Linked DNA regions of Alligator mississippiensis. The protein of the gene in region 2 interacts with the protein of the main gene of each other region in a biochemical or structural test. Links are inferred from orthologs where the notes say so. Each region holds a gene or a part of one and is shown on either strand. Other genes may lie near its edges. The genes, in order: NIN, AURKA and INCENP.

Region 1 (7,473 bases), on a different chromosome or scaffold from region 2:
GGGCACCTTGCAGCCCCCGCCCCCCTCAACCCAGATGCCATAATCCCGTCTCCTGCACGCAATGCACAGCTGCCTCCTGGCCCCTCTGAATTATTCAGCAGGGCTTAAAAGGCTCCTACCTGATGAGCTCACAGCCACCCCGCGGCAGCGAGGCCGAAAAGGAGCGTGCAAGTCATCACCGAGCAGTCACAATAATGAGGTCACGCACATCGGAGCGCTGCGCTAGCACGACACCGAACGCCAGCAATTTCAAGGGCGGAAGCTGACTCTTCGGGTCAGAGCCGAGAGTGGTGCTCGCCCGGGGTGGGGATGGGGGGGCAACGGGAGGGAGGGAAGATTGGCAGGGCGGAGAGGGCCTTGCAGGGGGGAACAAAACAAAAATACAAAGCCAGAGTGAAACCCAGGCCTTTCATCTCCCCTCCAGATGGTCCAGCAGCTGAGCTACAAGATGGAATGTCTGGATTGTTTCATTGCTTCCCGTCCTCGTGCATAATAATAGCGGCCGCATGAGCCGTGCTCAGACACAACTGATAAAGAGTCAGCAAGGCCAGGGACCAGTCTCGAGCTGGGAGAGGCAATCTCCCAGCTGAGCACCAAAAGCAGGAGGGGGCAGTTGGATGGCAAGTCTCTTTGCTCCTCAGCCCATCACCTGTAGTAACATAATGCAAATCCTCGCACCCCTGCCTGAACAGGCAGGAAAAGGAGGCAAATATTCTGCTTTAAGACAAGGAGGGCAGTTGCTTTTCAGGGCTAAAAACTCCGATGGAGTCACCAAGGACTAAGAAAAGCAGAAGTCCCAACAAGCACATATTGTAACACATTTCAGGAAGCATCAAGGAAGTTTCGGGGGAGCTTCTTAGAAGACAAGTCGAGGAAGATGCTTGAAATGATGCCCAACGTGGGCTCGGAGGCTTGTAGCTTTTCCTTACAGTAAAGGCTGTGGTTAGGAGACGCATCAGCTGCATGGAGAACAAAAGGGATCTCAACTGAGGCAAGTAATTCAGCCTCGTTTCCAAAGTCCAGACCCCCCAGGTTAAAGCTACGCTCTCGAGAGCCTCAGGTAACCTCCATAACGGATGTTGCAGAGACTTGATAGCGCTTCCCAGCTAAATTTAACCCTAATGATATAGGTTCAAAAGAGAGGACTTGGGATCCAGCTTCAGCTTTAAACATTTTGAATCTAGATTAAACTTCAAGCCTGAGCGTACAACTAATGGAGGGGTAGACGACCTGGCCAGCACCATCAAGTCCGAATACTACAATTAGCACAGCACAAATGAACGCTGCCCTGGCAAGCCTGTAATTACTGGAGCAATGTTACTAGAAGAGGAAAACCAAGCAGTGCGCTTGGCACTCTTTCCAAAGAAACACCGCTCACTTGAATTTTCCCTTTGCTGGGCCATATTTAAATCACATCCAGCTGAGGTCTGAGACCCTCTCTCTCAGGTGCCACTACGCACCTTAATATTTTGTATACATTTAATTAAAAAAAGCAAAACACCTGTCCTCAAGGAGTCGACCCTCTTTCAAAAAGCCACCAATGAAGGCGAATGTACGCATTTGCCATTGTTCTTCAATGCTTTCTCAAGCCGAATGATCGGCAATTAGACAATCACAGGTTCCCGTTAGAAAGTTGACTCATAAACCACCATCAAAACAAGCGCATTATTGTCAGAGGACAAGTGGTCATTTTGGTAAGGGTCTTCCCTCTGTGAAGAGCAAAGAGCCAGTGTGACACATGAAACCTTATCTCCGCGCACGGATTTCGCTACAGGAATAATGTGTGCATCACCTGGCCGACCAACCCCGCGCGCTTTTATTTTCTAGTTTTAGGCTGACTTGACAAGATACACAAATCATCCGCTGAAGCGGCGGGTATTTGAGCTCTTGCCGAAAGCGCTGTGCCCGGGTTGTCTTACCTCAAGTCATTATCTCCTTCCATTAATGAACTCTTCTCGCCTATCTCTGCATCACCCCATCAGCATAATTCACTGCTTACTCCCAGCCTATGTGCTACCAACCCAGCTTTTCATTTCGGAGCAATACACAGAATGACATCACGCCAGCTTCAGCAGCGGGTCCCCTCCAAAGCATCAGACAATACAAAAAAGCAGCAGCGGGCAGAGCAGCCAAAAAAAAAAAAAAGAGCAAGACAACGAAGCAAGCAGCACCCAGGAGTCAGGAAATCGCCTTCCAACGTACCCCACCCCACACCACCAAAACCAGCGTTTCCACCCCCCCATGAAGTGCCCCAATCATTAGTGCAGTCCAGTGCTGTACCTCTCCTTGTGGCCCTCCATCGGAGGATTCAACCTGGCCTGTGGTTCACAGAGAAGTCAGGTGGGAAGGGACCTCCAGAGACCACCTAGTGCAACACCCTGCCTGAAGCAGCATCCCCCCCCCCGTCCACACCATCCCATCCCATCCCAACCCAAGCCCTCACCTGAACTGGACACCTCCCAACGCGATCACAAAAGGTGTCCTCGAAAGGCAACTCCACGACCCGGCGCACGCTCCCTGCCCCGGTGCCACACTGGAGACTGGGCAAGACAGGCCTCGGGTCTGTCCCTCCTCGGGGCTCGGGGCCAAGGCGCGCGCAGAGCGCTGGACTGGACTGGACTGGACACGCGCGGGCGGCTTGCGGGAGGGCTACTCCCGGCAGCCCGGCATTTGCATCCTAATAGGCTCTTGCCATCAGCAGCCTCCGGGAAGGGGGGCCGAGCGAAACAATGGGCCCATCTGCTTGGGTTTGGGGGAAGCCACCGCCAGCGAGCCGCGGAGGGCCCGGGCCACAAAGCCAGGGGCGGCGGGGCCGGGTCCCAGCCTTGCAGCGCCCGGGGCGGGCGAGCCGGCGGCCGGGCGGCGCTTTTGTGCAGCTCCCGGAGCCTCCGGGGCAGGGGCAGGGGCAGGGCTGAGCGGCTGCGGGAGCGCCCGGGCGGGCCGGCAACAGCCTCCGCGGACCCGGCGTGGGGCGCGCTGGGAGCGGGGGCGCAGCACTCACCTCCGCCCCGACGGCAGCTCCAGCCCGCAGCCCGCGAAGGAGGAGCGCAGCCGGGCCCGCCCTGCACGCACTCCCCGCCCGCCCGAGCCGCTACGCGCCGGGCGCCGCCTTTTAAAACCTCAGCGGGGCCCGGGCATTGGCTCCGCCGGCTCAGCCGCTCCGCCCCCGGCTTCCCAGCCCGCCCGTCCGCAGCGCCGAGCACCTCGCACCGCCCTGCTCCGAGCGATCCCCCTCCCCTCCCTGCCCGCAGCGCCGAGCACCGCCCCGCTCCGAGCGCCCCCTCCCCGCCGGCAGCGCCGTGCACCGTGCATCGTGCACCGCCCCGCTCCGAGCGCCCCCTCCCCGCCGGCAGCGCCGTGCACCGTGCATCGTGCACCGCCCCGCTCCGAGCGACCCCTCCCCGCCCGCAACGCCGTGCACCGTGCACCGCCCCGCTCCGAGCGCCCCCTCCCCGCCCGCAGCGCCGTGCACCGTGCATCGTGCACCGCCCCGCTCCGAGCGACCCCTCCCCGCCGGCAGCGCCGTGCACCGTGCACCGCCCCGCTCCGAGCGCCCCCTCCCCGCCCGCAGCGCCGTGCACCGTGCATCGTGCACCGCCCCGCTCCGAGCGCCCCCTCCCCGCCCGCAGCGCCGTGCACCGTGCATCGTGCACCGCCCCGCTCCGAGCGCCCCCTCCCCGCCCGCAGCGCCGTGCACCGTGCATCGTGCACCGCCCCGCTCCGAGCGCCCCTCCCCGCCCGCAGCGCCGTGCACCGTGCATCGTGCACCGCCCCGCTCCGAGCGCCCCCTCCCCGCCCGCAGCGCCGTGCACCGTGCATCGTGCACCGCCCCGCTCCGAGCGACCCCGTCCCGCTCCCCCGCAGCCAGGTCTCCCCGGCTTGCGGACCCTGGACACCGGGCTGAAAATCCCACCCAGCCCGAGCAAGTGGAGACCCCGCCACGCACCCACCCGGCCGGGGCAACCCCACGACCGGGAAGGGGGTTTTCAGACTGGCCCTTTCTTGGCAGGGGTAGTACCTTGCCCCAGGGAATGCATAAGTAGCCTCCCGCGGGGGAAACACCATGAATCTGGGTCCGAGGAAGCCGTTTTGCTTAAGCGTTCCTGGGGATAACTGCTCTTTTGGCGTGGTTTTGTACCCGCCGAGGTGTTGGGGCTTAAAGCCCGCTTTATGGAAATGGGAGGCTCCTCCTGAGCTTGCTTCTCTGGGCTTGGGGCTGCATGCAGGGTGCCCACCAAAAGACGTTGGAAATATCTGAAGGCCCTGGTGGGGGTGGAGGATGTTTGCCGGTTGTAGGGCCACTTATGGTTCTGGACTGACTCACGGATTTGGCTTGGCACACAAAACATTTCTTTAAAAAAAAACCCCAAACAAACTGTCACTTCCAGTGGGAAGCACTCAGCAGCAATATGCTAACTCCTTGGCACCGTGTAGAGGGTGCATGCAGGTGCATGTGCACCCCCTGAGGTCGGCTGATGCCGAGGCTGCCCCCGGCGGCGTCTGTGGGTGGTCACCGATTGCTGCTCGGTGCTCGCCACCACACCTCGCTTCCCCCAACACTGGCATCTGCGGGCAGTCGTGGATCGCCACCCCACTGCCACCACTGACAAATTGTGCCCCCCTCCCCAGAGTTGGGAGGCGCCAGTCCTTTATACACTGACTTGTTGGAAATGGGAGACTCCTCCCTAGCTTGCTCCTGCGGCCATACAGCTGAGGGCAAGCGAAACTCAGGGGCATCCGAACCCCAACCTCTGGGCTTGGGCCTGCACATAGGATACTCGCCAAAGGATTTGGAAATATCTGAAGCCCCAGGTGGAGTGGAGGATGTTTGCTGGCAGCAGGCCACATATGGTTCTTCAATCACTCATGGATTTGGAATTGATTTGACTCAGGTCATGAAAAATTTTCTTAAAAAAAAAATGCATCCAAGTCCGAGTTGGGACTGGGCTCCTTTGAGCAGTGCTGGGGGCCGGGGTGTGCTCTGCCCTTCTGCTTTCTGGCTACAACCAAATGCTCTGGGATTTTCTCTCAGCCTCCTGGCTGCTTTCATGCTGCAGGCCCTGGAAGGCCCTTTTAGCTGCTGAGAAACTTCTTCCCAGTACTTAGAGACCCCAAGTAGTTGGGGCCGGGGTGTTGGGATTAGCCCTGCGCTGGGGTCCCCGGCACCCAGATGGTCCCTGGCTCCTCTGAAGGATCATGCTTTGGAAACCAGTGCCCTGCTTTGCTAGTGATAGCTTGATTCACTTTGTAGAGCCCAGCAAGGCTGATACAAATCATAGAAATCAAGAGCCTAGAGTTGCCTTTAATTGGGTCAGACCTAGGCCCACCGTGCCCAGGCTCCTGTGTCACACCAGGGCAGAGAGCAGAGGCTGAAAGGGAGAGTGAACTGGGTATGAGCAGAAGTTTTTCCCTCTTTTCCTCCCTCCTTTGCAGCCTCCAGCACTGAAGGCCGAGGAAGCTCTGATTCAGAGGCTGTGCTCCTTGCCCCTGTGCTCAATAGTGACTGATGCCCCTTTCCTCCAAGAATATGTCTGATCCTTACTGAATCTGGCTAAAGTCCATCCGCAGTGCTTGCGCCTTTGCTTCCAGATTGCCCACAGGCAGGCCGGACTGCCTCCGGTTGAGTAACGATCTCCACTCAATGATTCCCTGTTGACATCTTCTCAAGCCCGGTCGACAGCCAGTCCTTCATGCCTTGACCGTGCATTTTGGGGATGCAGGACAGCACCGCTGTTTTAATCAGGAGTCTGTGTTGTGTCCTGCAGGGGCAAACATCTCACAAAGGTCCAAGTGCCCTGGGCCTCTGTGGCTACCGTCCAGCCAATCTCTCTGCAAAAAGAAACTGGGTTTGTCTGGTAAGGCCAGTTCTCTGTGTCGACCACACTCTTATACTGCTGAATCCTCTAGCACTTTTGCTGTCATCTTGCCTGGGATTAATGCCCACCTAGCTGGTCTCAGCTGCTCCCCGTGCCCTGTGCTACATCAAATAATACTAAATCAGCACCTAATCCCATAGGGGTGAGCAATTCCACCCCAGCTAATGGGGGACGGATGCAGTTTCTAGCTTATCCCTCTCTGCCCTTTGCAGTGAGCCAGGAATACAGGACCGGGCCTCTTCAGCAGATCTAGCCATTTCTCATTCCCACTTGGGGTCAAGGAAGTTCTGGTTCAGAGGCTGTGTCCCTTACTCCCATGCTGAATAGCTACGGATGCCCCTTTCCTCCAAGAATTTGTCCAGTCCCTTTTCATAGAGAAGTATGGCTGGAAGGGACCGCCATACATTGAGTCCAACAGCTGTATCCTCCTTCCCATGGGCGGATGTAGGCTTTTGAAAAGGGGGGTGGGGTGCTGGTGGTGTGGTGCATCACCCCATATAACACAACGTATCTATTCCCCAGTTAAAAAGAAAGGAGATGCTTTCCTAATGTGCTGGGGGCTGCAGGCTACATTGTTTCATTTAAAACTCAAGCAAAAAAAAAAAGAAAAAGATAATGTAATTAGAATGTGCTTGAATTTGCTGTTATGGATAAAAAAACCACAACAAACCAGGCCAAAAAAATAAAAAATAAAATCAAAAGACGCTTCATTAGCACTATTGTCATTAGAATGAAATGTACAGCTCTTTTTCACGTTCAGAAAATAAAATCCAGCCTTCCTGAGCACCTTGGTAGTGCATCCAATGCTTCATTGATAGTTATGTACATACCTGAGTTATTATTTTCAGCTAGAATTAAAAACAGTTTGCAAGGCTGTTAAATAGGAGCTTCCTTACCAGGAGCAGCTAACAGGCAGCAGAATGGTTGAACACAGGCTAGCTTGAGTAGAGGAATATCACAATCACTAAAAAGGGGAGGGGGCCGTTAGTACCTATGGGATGAAGTGTTTAGAAAGAATCGGTAGCTTACAATGAGCTACAAAGTCAGTTGAGTCCCTCGCTGCTGCCTCAATAGCAATGCTGCTGCCGCTGCTGCCAGCCAGTTGGTTTTAAACTTTGGGTGAAGCAGGGATCAAAGGGTTCGCCTCCCTGGGTACACCCTTGTTCCTTAGGAATACTTGGCTGCCCGGTATATGCAGGTCCCTGAGCTGGTAATGCTCTCCTAGCATTGCCCCAGAGCTTGGACCCCTGCCTGGGACCCCTGTTAGCCAGTTCCATCCTCTCCTGTCATCCACTGGATGCCAGCTCCTGGGCTGGTACTTGGGCTGGGGTAGCTTGCCACGGACCCACACTCCATGGATGCTCCGTGTCCTGTGCAAAGTGCTCCCATCCATGCTGGCTTTGCACTAGATCTCCGAGCCCAGCAGCAACTAGTGATGAAGCTGCCCAGGAGAACTGCTGGGACTCCCAGATCATCAGACCCTTAGGATCCCACCTGCAGCAGTTGCCTGTTACCTGGCTGCAGGAGCTGGCTGGAGGGCAGGGCAAAGGTGGGGCAGGTCCTCTGCTCAGTGCTTGTATTTTGCTATCGTCAAGTC
Region 2 (7,910 bases):
TACAACTAGAACTGTATGGTTTAGTGGTCAAGATACCAGACTGAGACTCAGACTTGGATTGTTATTTCTGGTTCTGCTACTGATTTGGTTTGAAATCTGGATACATCAGTTACTCTCTCTTTCCTAGTTTTTTTTCACCTCTGACTTTTTTGCTTAGCTTATTAAAATGGTAAAGTCTTTCGATCAAAGCTATTTTTAAAATATGGTCACTGCCTTGTTGAGACTTCTAGATCCTACTACAGCACAATCTCTATAAAAAAAAATTCTGTTATGCTGCATACTCCAATGCAGATATTGCTTAATGTCTGCTGCCAAACATGAAGTTTATGCTGTACAGTCACACTGTGTATTGTCCAGTCAAACAGGCTGTACTATAGCAGATTTGAATGCTGACCTGATAAGCAACATTAGGGTATGCAATGCCCCTATTCCAGCAGACGCTAAGTGACTTAGGACCTACCTGCCCTTCCTCAAGACATACTTCCTGTGACATATAGCACAAGGTATACAAGATGAAGTTCAATCCGTTAACTAGGGATGCACCGATAGAGACTTTTTGGGCAGATACCAATAGCTAAAATTAAGGAGGCGTATCAGCTGATATCAATCCAATTTCTGATACAGCTGGTAAGTCCATTGTGGTAGAGGGGAGGAAAAGGGCGGGGGAATATCAACACCCCACCATGGTGAGAGGGGGGGCAAGGCCAAGTGCTGCCCAGCCAGGGCAGAGCATGGGACGCTACCCTCCTCTGTAGCCACCCCCGAGCCCAGCTCACATGGAGAAGAGCCTGCAGCTACAGCTCACCTGCCCTGCACAGATCCGGGGGCACATGCCTTCCTGGGGTGCAAGCAGTGGCAGGAACAATCCCCTCCTCCCCCCCACCACGAGGAGCTGTGGCTTTGGCCCGTGCCCCATCTGCCCCCTCCCTCACCATGTTGGGGACGGACGGATGGACACACACATGGGGACATTGATCTGCCCCCCCAAAGCCCCTTCTACCACATCAGACTTACCAGCTGCGAGCAGCTCTGCTCCTCACTGCCTGAGTGCTGCGTTGCGGCTATGCACATACATGAGCACTTATTGGCCAAATTATTGGCCACATTGAGCCGATTTCCAATACAGCCAGTTTTCTTTATATCAGTTCTAATCCGATATCGGACTGATGTAACGGCGCAGTTAATCATTTTGCAGTAAATTAACCAATGTGGAACTCCATGCTGCTATGGCTAAGCTGCTTTTAGGATGTGAATAGTTCAGCTGTTTTGATGCTATGCTGTAGTCTAGGTGCAGGTATGTCATTAGAGAGGGAGTGGCAGGGCTGCCTCTTTTGTGGCCTTGGACCTTTGGATCCCACTGTCTTCCAAAATCCTTAAAGCAGTTTACATTTCCAGCCTTCAAAACACAACAGGACACATGGTTTGTCCACTCTCTGCAAGGAGATGTGGGCTGAGTACAGCTTATGTTGTTCATATGGAACTGGTTATGTCAGTTTCTATGACCTTTATTACCACATGCTTTGCTTTGATCTGGTACATTCAATGAACCCATGTATTATGATCCTGAAGGCTTTCAAAACATTCAGGGTACTGGATAAGCATTCTTGTATGTGGCAAAAGACCAAACTGCTTTTGAAAGCCCTGCATTTAATATTTCCTATCCACAGCAGAACCAGAGAAACGTAGGGATAGAAGGACACTGGAAAATCATCCAATCTAAACCCTAAATCAAAGCAGGATCAATGCCATCCATGACACTAACAACAGAGCATCATTAAGAGTGATTTTTGCATGAGAGACTGAGACCACTGTGTACCTGCACTGTAAGCAAAGTTGAATTTCAAAATTCCTCATTTATTGACATTAAAATTTACAGCTTACCTAGTTTAATTAAGTGCAGCAGCTGCTCAGAGGGTGCACAGACTGACTGTGGTTTTATCTCATTTATCAGGCCATTGGCAATGTTTATGTATCCATCATACAGCAGCTGACTAATAATCAGTTTATACAATTGCTGACGATCTTTCAAGCTCACTTTTGTTCTATACATTGCGAGCAAGGACTGCCTTGCAGGGGCCTGAAACAAAGATAAAAAAAAAAAAATCACAAAATAAAATTGGACTGAACTGGCGTTGCCTTTCATAGAAAAGTGAACCGCATGTCATTTTCCAAAGTTCCTTAATGGAGATAAAGTCAATTAAAAAGGTATTGCATGGGGGGGTGGGATTTTCAGCTTGCGATCAAAAGTAGAGGGCAAAAAAGGTATTATATATACTGGGGGGAAGAGGGAGACATGTTCAGCTTGCAATCAAAAGTAGAGGGCAAAAAAGGTCTTATATGTACTGGGGGGAGGGGGGGGGAAGAGTTGCTCAGTTTGCAACCCGAAGTGGAGGCCAAAAACCAAGGTGCCAGAAGAGATGACAAAGTCGTTCCCGACGGCAGTGACAGCGGAGGAGCGCGCTGGCCACCAGCATGCGTGGGGCTGCGATGCGAGGCTGACAAAGGCCAAGGGCCAGGAGAGCGGCAGCGGCGCCGTCTGCAGCCGCGGTGCCGGCAGGACCCCGCTCCGCGGACGAGACGGGCGCGGGGCCAGGAGCGGAGGGAGAAGCCGGCCGGGGCGCCGTGGCCCGCGCGGGCGGGAAGGGGGCGTGGGGGACTCGCGGCACAGGAGGGCGGGGAAAGAAAACCCGCCCGCCAGGGCGGCAGCGGCCGCACCCAGCGGCTCCCGGGGCAGCGCGGCCGAGCCGGGCCGGGGAGGGACAAGACACGCGCAGCCCCGCCCGCCGGTACCTACCGACCCTTCCTTCGGCCTCCCTCGCTCTCCGCCTAAAATGGCGCCCGGAGCCCTGAGCACATCGATGGGAGGCGCCGGCGGCGGGGGAGGCGGCGGCGGCAGCAGCAGCCGAGAGCGCAGGAGGCTCCGCCGCGAAGGCAGCTGCATCGAGCGCCCGCACATCGATGGGAGCCGGCCCTGGAGGGAGGCAGGGAGGGAAGGGAAGGGACAGCCGCGTCAACGCGCATGCGCGCACCCCGCCGCGCCCGGCAGCCACGTGACCCGTCCATGGGCTCCCCCAGCACGTCCAACACGCGGGCCCGATCCTGGGGGGTGGGGGCAGCATGGGCAGAGGGGTCTCGTGATCCCTGCGGGTGAAGGGAGTCTGGTGGAGATGAATGAAGGGCAGCAGAGGCTGCTGTGGCTCCTGGGCAGGCAGCAAGTGGGGGACTGGGCAGCCCAGGCCTGAGGGTAGTGGGTTCAGATCCCAGCTGTGGGCAGGTGGGGTCTCAGGGAGCAGCCTGGGTGCAATGGTGGCCTTAAGGGTGTTGGGGCCGCAGGCCAGCGGGTCGTCTGGGGCCCCTTGGAGGCTTAAATGTGGATGACCTGTAAGCACAGACATTGGTTGCAAACTTCTAGGCGTCCCCTAAAGTGCAGTCACCCCATTTGCCCTCCCCTAGGGCCGTCACTGCCAGGTGCTCCTGTACGGGGTCTGTCCCGCCACGCGTCCGTGCAAACCACTGGCGTAGCACGGGTCTCCAGCACCCAGGAACCAATGCTTACATTTGCACCTGCCTGTCCACAGGCAATCGCCAAGTGGGAGGAGGCGGCCGATCGCCGAGGCCAGAAACAACGGTGGCGAAACAGGAAGTGCCGCCAGGGGACCGAATACCCCCCGGAGGGCCCAGCCGGCGCCTGGGGGTATGCCCCCTTGGTGCTAGGCCACTGCCGCAGCCGGACACCGCGGGCAAGCGCGGGCTCCCGCCGATTTTCGTGGCAGCGCCGGTTGGTTCCCCACTTCAACCGGGCAGCAAAGTCTCAGGCGCGGCAGGCTCCTCCTGGGCACCCCCCCCCGCCCGCCCGCCCCAAGGGACAGCCGTACTCACGTCAGCCTCGAGGAAGGGCAGGCGCAGGGCCCGCGGGTCGATGGGGGGGGAGCCCATGTTCCCCAGGCCCCGTGGCAGCGGGCGTCTGTCGCAGGCTGGGACGAGGCGGCGGCCCGACATCCTGGCGCTCGCTGCCGGCACCGGGATCGCCTCCCCGCGCTCTGTCGGGCGACGGCGCTGTCAGCCGCCACCTACCTCTGCGGCTGCTCTCGCTCCGCCGGGCCGGCTCGGCTGGGCTCACCGTCGGGCGATGGCGGCCGGTGGGACCCGGAGCCACTCGCGGGTGCCCGCAGGCGGGAGGCGTCGAGCGGGCGACGCTGCGGCTGGGCCTCCGGACGTCCTCGTGGTGCTCGTATGTATCACGGCTGCGCCCGAGCGCTCAACGCCGGCCTGCGGCACAGCTGCCCCGTGCGGCCTGTGCAGCCCGGGCCCGGTGCCCTCCTGCCTCCCCTGAGGGGGCAGCGCAGCCCCCCCCACCCCCCGCTGCCAGGAGCCGGGGGCTGCCGCCTCCCAGCCAGGGGGCAGGACTGACCTGAGGCACTTCCTGCCCCGCTAACTGCCCGCCCCGCGGCCTCACGGGGCGGCGGGCGGCGGGGATGGCACTTCCATCGCTGCCACGGGTGGGTGGTCTGGGCTTACGCGACTTGCGTAAGGAGAGACCAACCGAGGCCGAGAACTGGCGGAAAAACCGACGTAACTGTCTCGCCGATCTACGCAGTTGGCGCGCGCCGGGGGTGGGGGGGAAAAGCGGCCGAGGGGCGGCACGTCACCTACGCACGTTGCGTCGGCACCGCCCTAGGGGCTGGAAGCGGCTCACGCTACCGCGCAGGCGCTCTGGAGACCCGCGGCCTGAGAGCGACGGGAGGGGGCGGGAGCAGTCGTGAGCCAATGGGCGGGCGGGGAGGGTGGAGCAGGAGCCAATCAGAGCGCCAGCGTGGTGGGAAGCGGGCCAATAGGGAGCAGCGGCGGTTTTAAAGGCTGTTACGGGGAGGGAGGTTTGAATTCAAACAGCGCTCGCGGTGGGGTGTGGGGCGGTGGTGGTGAGGGCCGATGGGGGTATTGGGAGGGCTCCTGGGATCCCCGCGTGTGGGGGGCAGATGGTCCTGGAGAGAGGAGGAGGGCAGGGAAATATGGTCCTGGAGTGGGGGGTGGAGGGGCAGATGGGCCTGGAGAGAGTGGGGGGGCAGGGGTCCTGGAGTGGTGGGGAGGGGAGGGGCTGATGGGCCTGGAGAGAGGGGGCAGATGGGTCTGGAGGGGGGAGGGGCAGATGGACCTGCTGGAGAGGTTGATCTGAGCCTCCAGGCCAGGCTGGCTTGTATTTGAACTCTCTCTTTTTTCAGGCAGCATGGACAGAACCCGGAAAGAGAACCGCCCCGGCCTGCCCACACATGGTGTCAAGGTAAAAGGCCTTGTTCTTTGCTCCACCAGTTCATCCTGGTCCTTGTTTGCGATAACCCCTTCTGGTCATCTCGACAGAAGGCCCCCCTGCCTTCTCCAAGTGTTCGCCCTGCCTGTGTATGAGGCCGGGCAGCATAATGTACGTAATGCGTAGCAGAGGTGTTAATAGCTCTGTTATGGAGGCCTATGTTGTTCTTAAAACAGTCTGAGAATGTGGTACTGTCCCCACTTCAGATCGATTTAAATTTTTACTTTCCATTGGTAGGCTAATGGGGAGAAATGCAGCTAAATTAGGTTGTGCGAGGGTGGAAAATGAACTTCATGAGTTACAGTACAATAATTAGTGCTTCTGCCTTGTCTTGTGTGTCTGTTTAGATTCCAGCCCACGTTGGGGATGGCCCAAAACGAGTCCCCGTCTCTCAGCTTCCTCAGAGTCGAGTCCCTGGAGGCGCAGCCCAAGCACAACGTGTCTTGTGTCCTTCAAACTTGGCTCAGCGAGTTCCTGTACCATCACAAGCTCCAAAGACTGCAGCGTCTAATCAGAAACTGTCTCATAATCAGCGGATGCAGCAGCCTCAGCCGACATGTGTAGTTCAAACATCTTCTAGGCCTCAAGCTCCAAATAATAATGAAAAGCCTCATCATGTCCCAGTATCTGGTAAATAGATTCATTTACACATCTATCTCATCTTGACATGACACCCAGGAGACTTTCAAAGATTGATCATTAAACTGGTTGACTGCAGCAAATTAACAGACCTGACCCTTATTTTCTATAGATCAGGTTTGTGTAACTTATCTTACATCCTGACTTTCTTCCATATAAGAGGATCACATTCACATAGGAAGATGGTTGAAATGTTGGGTAGTATGAACCTACACAGAATTATTTCTGGATTAATAACATTGGCCAACTAGCAGGGTGCTACCTGCTTGTCCCCATAACAGAATAGTGACTAAAATTTAACAGCCACAGATGGTAAGGTACCTTGCTGATAGATATAATATTATAATAATAGAAGTATCATTCTACCCAAAACTTGGAATCTAGAAAAAGCATGGTAAAAGCTGACAGTTGTAGCAGTTGTGTTTTGTGGGTTTGATTAATTAAGGTGTTGAAACTTTTTGTATGCAGCAAACCAGCCTGAAAAAGAAGGTACTTCTAAACCGAAAAATCAAGAGACTAAAAAGTAAGTTGCATTCCTAGTATTTTTGTGTGTTAACTGGGAACCTAGACCCAGAAGTCTAAAATGCTTGTCAGTGATAACTGGGTTAGAATTTCACTCTTAGCATTTAAGGATAAATAGTGTAGAAAAAGTATTCTGCAGTTTAAATATATTGGATTTTGAGGCCAGATCTTGATCTTGGTTAAATTGATACAAATCTTAACCCAGAATAACTCCATGGACATTTATACAAAAAAAAAGAGTTCCAGGCCTTTTGTATTCTAGCAGTTTAACTATATTTTTTTTTTTCCTCTCTTAGGAGGCAGTGGTCTCTTGATGACTTTGAAATCGGCCGCCCTCTGGGAAAAGGGAAGTTTGGAAATGTATATCTGGCTCGTGAAAAACAAAGCAAATTTATTCTGGCACTGAAGGTGCTGTTTAAATCTCAGCTGGAGGAAGCTGGAGTAGAGCATCAGCTGAGGAGGGAAGTAGAAATACAGTCTCATCTTAGGTAAAAAACAAACAAACCAACAAACCCCCTCCCCCCCAACTTATTAGAATTGTAGTTAAAGATATGTTGTTTCAAGCAAGATAAGCAGCTGAACTTATTGCCTCCTGAATTCTATCACCTTAACACAAAGTTTGAACTCGTCTACATGTAACAGGAGTCTTTATGCTTTTATACTCTGCCATGGCAATCCCTTAAAATTGCATCTATTTTTAAGTTACAGTGGACTTTACACAAAACATGTTTAAGGAAGTAATTTGAAAGAACTACGGTTTGGGGGGAAGTCTTTATATCCTGTTGTATAAAGGATACAACAGAGAGGATGCAACTCCAACTTTCTCTTAAACTAACCTTACTGGATTCTGGCTTCTGACTTGCTAGGCAAAGTGACAGTGTGAGATAATGGCTGGCATAATGCAGTGAATTATTTTGTACTTGAAAATGCTTCAATTCTATACATGCTGAGGAAGAACAGACTTTGTCATTGGCAGTGTTTCCAAATGGCATCTCTCCTATTGAATAAACCTGGATATAAGGGAGAACACCAATTTAAAAAATGAAAAGTATCTTTAGCAATAACATCCTAAGACCCTCTACAACCCCCAGCATGCATGCCAGAGTATGGCATGCGAGGCCATTTTGCTTGGTACATCACAGCTGGCCCCAGGCTCTGGGCAGCTGCCATGGGCCACTTGAAGCAGACAGCTGGGAAGCTGCAAGCCATGTTGCAAGCACCCTGGGCTCCACGGCTGGTAGCAGCTGCCTGAAACCCAAGCTGGCTGTGGCAGGCAGCTGGGGGGTGAGGCTTTAGATGGCTCCATAAGGCTCCAGAGCTCTTGGCTGCTTGTGTGCCTCTGGGCAGATGGCAGGAGAGAGGCTGGGGTTGTGCTGCCCTATACCCCTCCCCCACCATCTGCCCAGAGGCATGCATGCAGCTGCTGTCGGCAGAGGACCGGCTC
Region 3 (7,150 bases), on a different chromosome or scaffold from region 2:
CAAGTCATTGTGATTGGTATTCCGAGCCTACAACCTATGGCCTATTCATTGCTGATTTTGCTTTACTAGATACTGTAGCAAAAATAGTTTAGTTTAAGGACAGATTTGGACGATAACAATAAATTAACCTGACAGGATTTTATATCTAGGGAATATGAAGGTGGGAATATGAAGGCTAGGCAGCATGGAAAAAGTTAAAAATGTAAAAAAGGAAGTGAAAAGAGAGGATCTGACAAATAGGTTTCAGATACTATACTATGATTGTCACCCTCATTTCCCCAAGCATCCCTAACTTTGTTGTTTTACTTCCCAGTTTTGAAGTGTCTTCATCCAGGCTGCTCTGCATGATAGACCACAGCAATCAATAGCAGATACTGATAAATTATACAAGCGTAGCAATAAAAAGACAATTTGTGCACCTGGCAGCACACCATAAGAAATTTGACAATTAATGTTTTAAGTTACCGTATTTCATGTAGTATAGGTCAACACTGTGTATAGGTTAACTCAGGGGTTGGCAAAATGAGGCCCACAAGACACATGCGGCCCGCCAAGCCATTCTACCCGGCCTGCAGAGCCCCTAAAATAATTTAAAATATTGATTTTCTATCTGCCCCTGGTTGCCTGTTATGCAGCCCTCAATAGCTTGCCAAAACTCAGTAAGTAACCCTCCACCCTACATAATTGCTCGCCCCTGGGTTAGCTTCAGTTTTAAAAGTTAGAAAAGTTAGGATTTTCATAGGCATGGTGTGCAAGTCGAGGCCGAGCTCGGTGCTCAGCTGGCACGGCTCCATCCACTGTGAGCAGCACTGCCTGGGTCATGCCAGCTGAGCACTGAGAGCTGGCTCCATCCACCGCAAGCAGTGCTGCTGAGCACTGAGCCCAGCCCTGTCCCATCCCCTGCGTGTGACGTTGGGGCTCAGTGCTCAGCTGGCGCAGCCCCATCCCCTACAAGCAGTGCAGGCTCACAGGGGATGGGGCTGCACCAGCTGAGCACCAAGCCTGGCCCCATCTGCTGTGAGCAGCGCTGCTGAGCACCGAGCCTGATGCCACTCACAGGGGATGGGATGGGCTGGGCTCAGCAGCGCCACTTGCAATGGAGGGGTCTGGGCTCAGCTGGCAGAGCCTCATCCCCTGCAAGTGAGGCTGGGCTTAGCGCTCAGCTGGTGTGGTCCTATCCCCTGCGAGCAGTGCTGGTGTGGCCCAGGCAGCGCCGCTCATAGGGGATGCGACCGTGCCAGCTGAGCCCCAAGCCCAGCCCTACCCCTGTTCCCTGCAACTGGGTTTAACGCTTGGCTGGTGCAGCCCCAACCCCTGCAAGAGGCACTGCCTGGGCCATGCCACTTGCAAGGGAAGGTGGTACAGTGTATAAATCAAGGTTGCATTTTCAAAGGCCAAAACTGGGCTTTAAAATTCAACTTGTACATGATGAAATATGGTAACAGTGTATCCTTTGTTTAACAATAATTAGGAGAGAAAAAGAAATGTTAGTTCTTAATAAGATAAGTATGGGGAAAAGCTATTCTGCATGCTAAGAATAGCACACATAAGATGCTTTCCTTAAATTCAGTTCGAGTCTATTGAACATTTATAAAAAAACAAGCCGAAAAAGCATTTAAATTAAAAATCCAGTTTCAAATTTTGCTGTTTGTGTTCTATGAAGGGTTTATGCATCTCTCAGTTAAGACAAAGAGTAAGAAAATCAGCTTCATTTTAACTTATAGAAGCTATTAATAATCACTTCCAGGTTTTCATGCACTAGAGGTTTTGTTTGTAAATGTTGATAATTTAAAAACAAAACAAAAACAAACAAAACTTTAAATAGCTATGGAAAGAGTTACTAGCTTTACATTTTGTCAAAAACGAACTTTTACAAAACAGATTTTGAACCAATTTTGGCCTGGCCACGTCCCACTAAGCCAGGGGCAGGCAATTATTTTGGGTGGAGGCCTGCTTACTGAGTTTTGGCAAGCCAGCGAGGGTCACATGACAGGCAGCTAGGGGCAAATATTAATTTTCTAAATTTTTCAGGGACCCCGCGGGCCGGATAGAAGGGCCTGGTGGGCCACATCCAGCCTGCGAGCTGCATTTTGCCCACCCCTGCCTGCACTAAGCAGACTAATGATTTGAAATTTGAATGTATGTATATTGTATTCGTTGATTTGGGCTTTATTTTTTTTCTACCTGGCAATTAACTTTTCCCCCCTCCTTTGTTTGGTTTTTTAAAGTTATTTGTCATATGGCATATCTAAATTGACAGGGGAACCACTTACCTTTTTCTGGACAATTCTTTGTTCTCCTCCCTCAAAGAAAAAGAGCTTTTCTTCCTTCTCCGTTTCTTCTGTGATGGTGTTTTGGGCATCAGTCCAGGCTCAGCACTGAAGTTGCTGTTGCACAAATAAAAGGCAGAAAACAGAACGTTTCATCTGCTGCCTGACAATCATTCTATTTGCCTCGTATGAGCCAAAATTAACACAGTGGCAACCTAGGCACATGCCTAGGGTCTTAAGTGAAGAAAGGGCCCAGTTGTGCTTATTTTACGTATTATACTTATGGAGTTAAAAAAAGTAACATAAAAATTTCATCTCAGCTGGGGGCCCACGAGTTTGTTTGCCTAGGGCCCACTAAAGGGTTAATCTGGCCCTGTATGGAGAGCTTATGGCACGATAAAGTAGGACCTGTGCCAAGACAGCAGCAACGCAGAGACATTCTGGCCCACGCTAGACTGAAGCAAGCTGCCCAAAATACAGACAACAAGAGCCACTAAGGAGGTAAAGGAAATGCTATGGTACCAACTAAGGCAGCATTGCCAGGCACTTCAGATCTAGAATCTGAGACCCCAAACTAACTCAAGAAATGAGCAATTTTTATGGGAAACTCCAGTCTTTGGAATCGCAGCTTGCCAGCTGCCAGAACGGGGAAGGCTTCAGATAGATCACGGAGATGAGTCGCCCTCTCCTGCCAGTCAGGTGGACCAACCTATCAAACATCTTCACCGCCTCCTCCTCGATTTCCCGCAGCCACGCCAAATGCTTGTGCTCGGCATTGCCCAGGAACTCCGACAGCTTCTGGCTGCAGAAGTCCAGCAGGTTGGTGGGACCCACCATCTCCACCATGGCTCTGCCTACAACGGGCGGGCGAGGAGGAAAGAGCCGATCGCTAGGCAAGGCGCCTTTCGTAGGGTACCATCGAACCCTGGGGCAGACAGCTACGCCCCCACCATCCCTTTGGGAGACAGAAGGCTATCCCCAAGCTAGAGAGGGGATGAAAGGCACAGGGAAGGCGTCCCATAGGGAAGGAGCAGGCATCAGACCCAACCAGTCTAGCTCCCCCATCAGCACCCATCGCTCTGCTCCAGCAGCAGGAGCCCCGCTGCCAGCTCCTTCCCACACCCAGGGGTGCTGGAACCCAGGAGCCCCTCCTCCCTGGGCTTCCCCAGCCCTGCAGGGAGACAGGGCAGCCAGAGGACCCAGGCGTCCTGTCCCACCCCCGCCGCAGGTGAGAGACGCCCCCGGCCAGAGAACACGCAGAGGCAGCCAGGCCTCGCCCCCGCCACACAGAAGCTCCCTCCCACGCCCCACCCTTGGTGAAGTGCCCGTGACGACCATAGAGGCGTCAGCTAGACAGGCACCCTCCTAACCGGAACCGCCTGCCATACCCACAGCGATGCCCAGCGCAAAAAGCAAGAGCCAATGGCTGGCTTCCCTCCCCGAGGTCATCCGACCTTGCGCCAATCAGGGAGCGCTGTAAAGGAGCGGCCCGCCCTTGGCTAGCGCTCTTGTCCATCAACCGCGGCCCGTTTAGCTACAGGCTACGGAGGCGGCGCGGCTCTGTCTAGCTGCCCCGCCTATCAGCTCTCTCCTGGCCTTGGTTTGGTCCCTCCTCCTTCTCCTCCTACCTGCCCTGCGGAAGCTCCTCCCAGACTCAGTCCTCCAGGGTACAAGAGTCCGCTGGCTAGCAGGGCCTGTTGTGTAGCTCGGCACTGCTTTTTTCCTTCCTTTTCCTCTCTCCCCGCCCCTTTCCTTTGTGGCGTAAGCGCGTGGTGGCCCAATGAGCGCGGCGGGGGGATGAGCTCGATTCAAAAAATTTAGGCGGGCGCCGGCGGGGCTGGAAGTGGGGGGGCCGCGTTCGAGGCCGCGGCGGGTGTGTTCTGACCGTTGGTGGCTCGGGCCATTGCAGGCGGCGCGGCCATGGCGGGCACGGCGCACCTCGTGCAGACCTGCAGTCGGCGGTTGGCCGAGTTCCTGCGCGAGGTGGACGAGACGGACCTGGTGTGGCTGGCCGAGATCCGCGATGAGGCGGCCCGCATGTTCGGCAGGTGCGGGGCGGCCCCTCCTCCCAGCCGTCGTCTGGCTCGGCCGTGGGGGCAGCGAGGGGGGCGGCCACGCATGTCCAACCCCTACCTGGGTCTTCTCCAGCCCTGGCCGGCGGGAGGCCCTGGTTGGGGCGGCTGCGGTCGCTACCTTTCCGGCCCTCGGGGTCCTCTGCCTCCTTTCTGCAGGGGGAGCGTGGGCCGAGCCCCCTAGGGCAGCGGGAGGCTGCTGAGGACGGAAGAGCTGGTTTCTCGGGACACGCGTGAGGGGTCCTGGGTAGGGTACGTGAAGGGATGGTTCCAGCTGGGCCACAGATACGGGAATTGGGCAAGGGCAGGAAGGCGGCAGTGCCCCAGGGTCTTTCCGGCCCCTCCTTTCTGCCTAGGAGGGGTGAGCAGGAGGTTGTGGGGCTTGGTGGGGCCCCTCGGCTGCATCAGCAAGTTGAAGGGCCCGTGCCCTCTGCTGTGCCCCCTTCCCCAGCCCAGTGCTTGTTGTTATCACGCCTGCCCTGTTCTTCTGTCCCTGCTAAGGCTTCAGCTGCCCCAAGGACTCCCCCAGCAACAAGGGGGTGCTAACTGTTTCCGTGTGGGGCTGCGCCTCTGATCCTCTTGTGCATTAGCCAGGGTTGCTCAAGGCAGGATCTGCCCTGAAGAGCTTGACCCTGCCACACCTGGCTTGCTCACTCGCTTGTGGTCCTGGAAAAAAGGCTCAGGAGCAATATCTTGAAGCAACAAAAGAATACAAAGTGCAGCAACCCCCACCCCAGCGCATTACTGTTCACTTTTTCAGTGGTCTGAGGATACATTTGCAAATGCTTGCCAAGTACAGTGACATCCCTGGGAGGAAGTCACTGGGAAAGTGCAGGTATTTCCTATAATAACAGTACTAATCATACATGTGTCTACTGAGCACGGAGTAAGTCAGCCATTAATGCCTCAAAGGCAAAGAGCAAGGTATTATCCCCTGGCCTGTTGCTAGTTGGGGCTTTCATCACAGTTCCTGGGGCAACTTGCAATAACAGGTGGAAGCGAGGGGCAGGGGTTGATAACAGATATGCCAAGGGTAGGTCAGTCAGGCTGAGATTTGACCCTCTGATCCAGTCATGCTTTCTGGTGCCAGGTGAACAGCTGGCTTTAAGCACAGGGTGCACACAGCTCAAGGATGTCAAAAGCCCTTCATTTCAAAAGAGAAAACCTATCGTTATTTTACCACAACTGATAGACATAGCTAGCATGTATATTTATTATTCATAACCGCAGGACTCGGTGCTTGCAGGAAAAAAAGACATTTTCTCTAAAGCTCTCTAGGTGAGAAGTTTAAAGCTTCTTGGTGACTTGAGAACTGTATTCTGACTAGTCCTGATGTAGTACAGGAGGTTTTTGTTTATCCTCTGAAATTTAAGGTCCCAACTTAATAAGACCATCATGCACATGCTTTGTGTGGGACTACTGGCACCTCAGTTTCCTTACCATCTCTGCAGCCCTAGCAGAAGTGAGCCTTGTGGTCTCCCATGACATTGCGTTTATCTTCTCATTAGTTGGAGAGCTGCCTTTCAGAGACAGGCTGGCATAACAAGCAAGTAAAGTGCCCAGGTAATGTTACTACTTTTCCTGTTTCATCTGTTAAGCAGTGACTGTAATGATGAGCCAGAGTTGATGCCAAAAACTCCATCACAGAAAAATCGTCGCAGGAAGAAGCGTATTTCTCTTGTTCAGGATGAGAATGAAGATCCAACCAGGAAGAGGTAGGAAAGTCCCTGGAGTACCTTATATTTGAAGATGTTAAAACTATTTTTGATTGGGATCTTATCCCAGTTTTTGCATTTAAAAAGTTGTTGCTTTTCAGGCCTTAAGTAGAAAATTTGTGAAGAAATCCCTCTAAGAGGGAGGATGGCTTTAATATGATCTATACATTTTGCTGTTTAAGCACATGCTGCATAGAAGAAATGTTATTTTAGGTGACAGGTGAAGGAATTAAGCAGCTACTGCTGCTCTTTTAGAATCTCTTTGTCTCTCTCCATGTGTGTGTAGGCTAGTGGTTCTCAAGCTTTTTAGCCTCAAGGCACCCTGGCTGCAAACCACTGAGTTAGATTCTAGCTCATGCCAGGTGAGTGTGAGGAGGCAGCCCCTTACCCTCTGTGCCCTGTTTTTTCCATCATTTGCCCCCTCCCAGTGCCTGCTCTGTATCTGAGAGGGCAAGTGCTGCTTCTCCAGGAGCTTGAATACAAACAGCCAGAGCCACATGCACCCATAGCCTCTCCCACCTGCTTTGGGAGTATGAGAGGAGTGGGGGATGCTGGGGAACAGACCAGACCAAAAAGTGCAGCCCTGCAGCTCCACGGCTTCCCATTCACTTGCGCGTGCACTACAACAAACTGCTGGGAGCACAGGATAGCACAGAAGCAGCTGTGGAAACTGCTTGTCTGTGGAATGCTGCAGTGCCTGTTTCAGGGAAAAAGGAGGAGTGATCACTTACCTCCTGGCATGGGGGCCAGGCATTGTCACACCCTTGCAAGAATCTCATGGCACCTTGGTTGAGAATCACTGGTTTAGGCAGGAGAGACAGATCTTTGGCAAAAGTGTGCCCTTTCCAGCTATGGAATTGAAGAATAGAGTCCCCCACTCCTGAAAGTGTAGGACCTTTCCCATGTTTCTGCCTCTGTCAGGTGACCTTATCAATCCTAGTGCTGCGTATCAGCCTAGTAAATGCTAAAGACTCACCTTTAAAAGCTGCTCTCTCTATACACCATTGTACTGTAAAGGAACCATTTTGGATGCAGGCTTATAGTGTGCTGAAACTGTAACGGTACTAGAAGTCCACAGGGTCATAGGAAAATA

What was found.
Region 1: of the proteins of AURKA (region 2) and NIN, one has a biochemical effect on the other in vitro, tested with the Homo sapiens proteins (2 studies listed by BioGRID). The link is inferred for Alligator mississippiensis from reciprocal best matches to the Homo sapiens genes AURKA and NIN.
Region 3: the proteins of AURKA (region 2) and INCENP form a complex in vitro, tested with the Homo sapiens proteins (3 studies listed by BioGRID and IntAct, with this or other methods). The link is inferred for Alligator mississippiensis from reciprocal best matches to the Homo sapiens genes AURKA and INCENP.

Annotation. Positions count from the first base shown.
Region 1 is NC_081825.1:298,548,277-298,555,749, forward strand, and holds the start of NIN (ninein), read right to left. Parts: upstream 3,075-7,473; 5' UTR 3,002-3,074; intron 2,991-3,001; exon of another isoform or gene 2,444-2,990; intron 1-2,443. UniProt on the Homo sapiens protein: Centrosomal protein required in the positioning and anchorage of the microtubule minus-end in epithelial cells. May also act as a centrosome maturation factor.
Region 2 is NC_081832.1:9,930,520-9,938,429, forward strand, and holds the start of AURKA (aurora kinase A), read left to right. Parts: upstream 1-4,828; 5' UTR 4,829-4,874; exon of another isoform or gene 4,875-4,919; intron 4,920-5,219; 5' UTR 5,220-5,224; coding exon 5,225-5,278; intron 5,279-5,652; coding exon 5,653-5,935; intron 5,936-6,412; coding exon 6,413-6,467; intron 6,468-6,762; coding exon 6,763-6,954; intron 6,955-7,910. Other genes in the region: CSTF1 (cleavage stimulation factor subunit 1), read right to left, coding at 1,882-2,077, 2,795-2,971, 3,880-3,999. UniProt on the Homo sapiens protein: Mitotic serine/threonine kinase that contributes to the regulation of cell cycle progression.
Region 3 is NC_081825.1:179,235,667-179,242,816, forward strand, and holds the start of INCENP (inner centromere protein), read left to right. Parts: upstream 1-4,098; 5' UTR 4,099-4,190; coding exon 4,191-4,318; intron 4,319-5,940; coding exon 5,941-6,057; intron 6,058-7,150. Other genes in the region: inner centromere protein, read right to left, coding at 2,274-2,387, 2,980-3,124, 3,659-3,719. UniProt on the Homo sapiens protein: Component of the chromosomal passenger complex (CPC), a complex that acts as a key regulator of mitosis.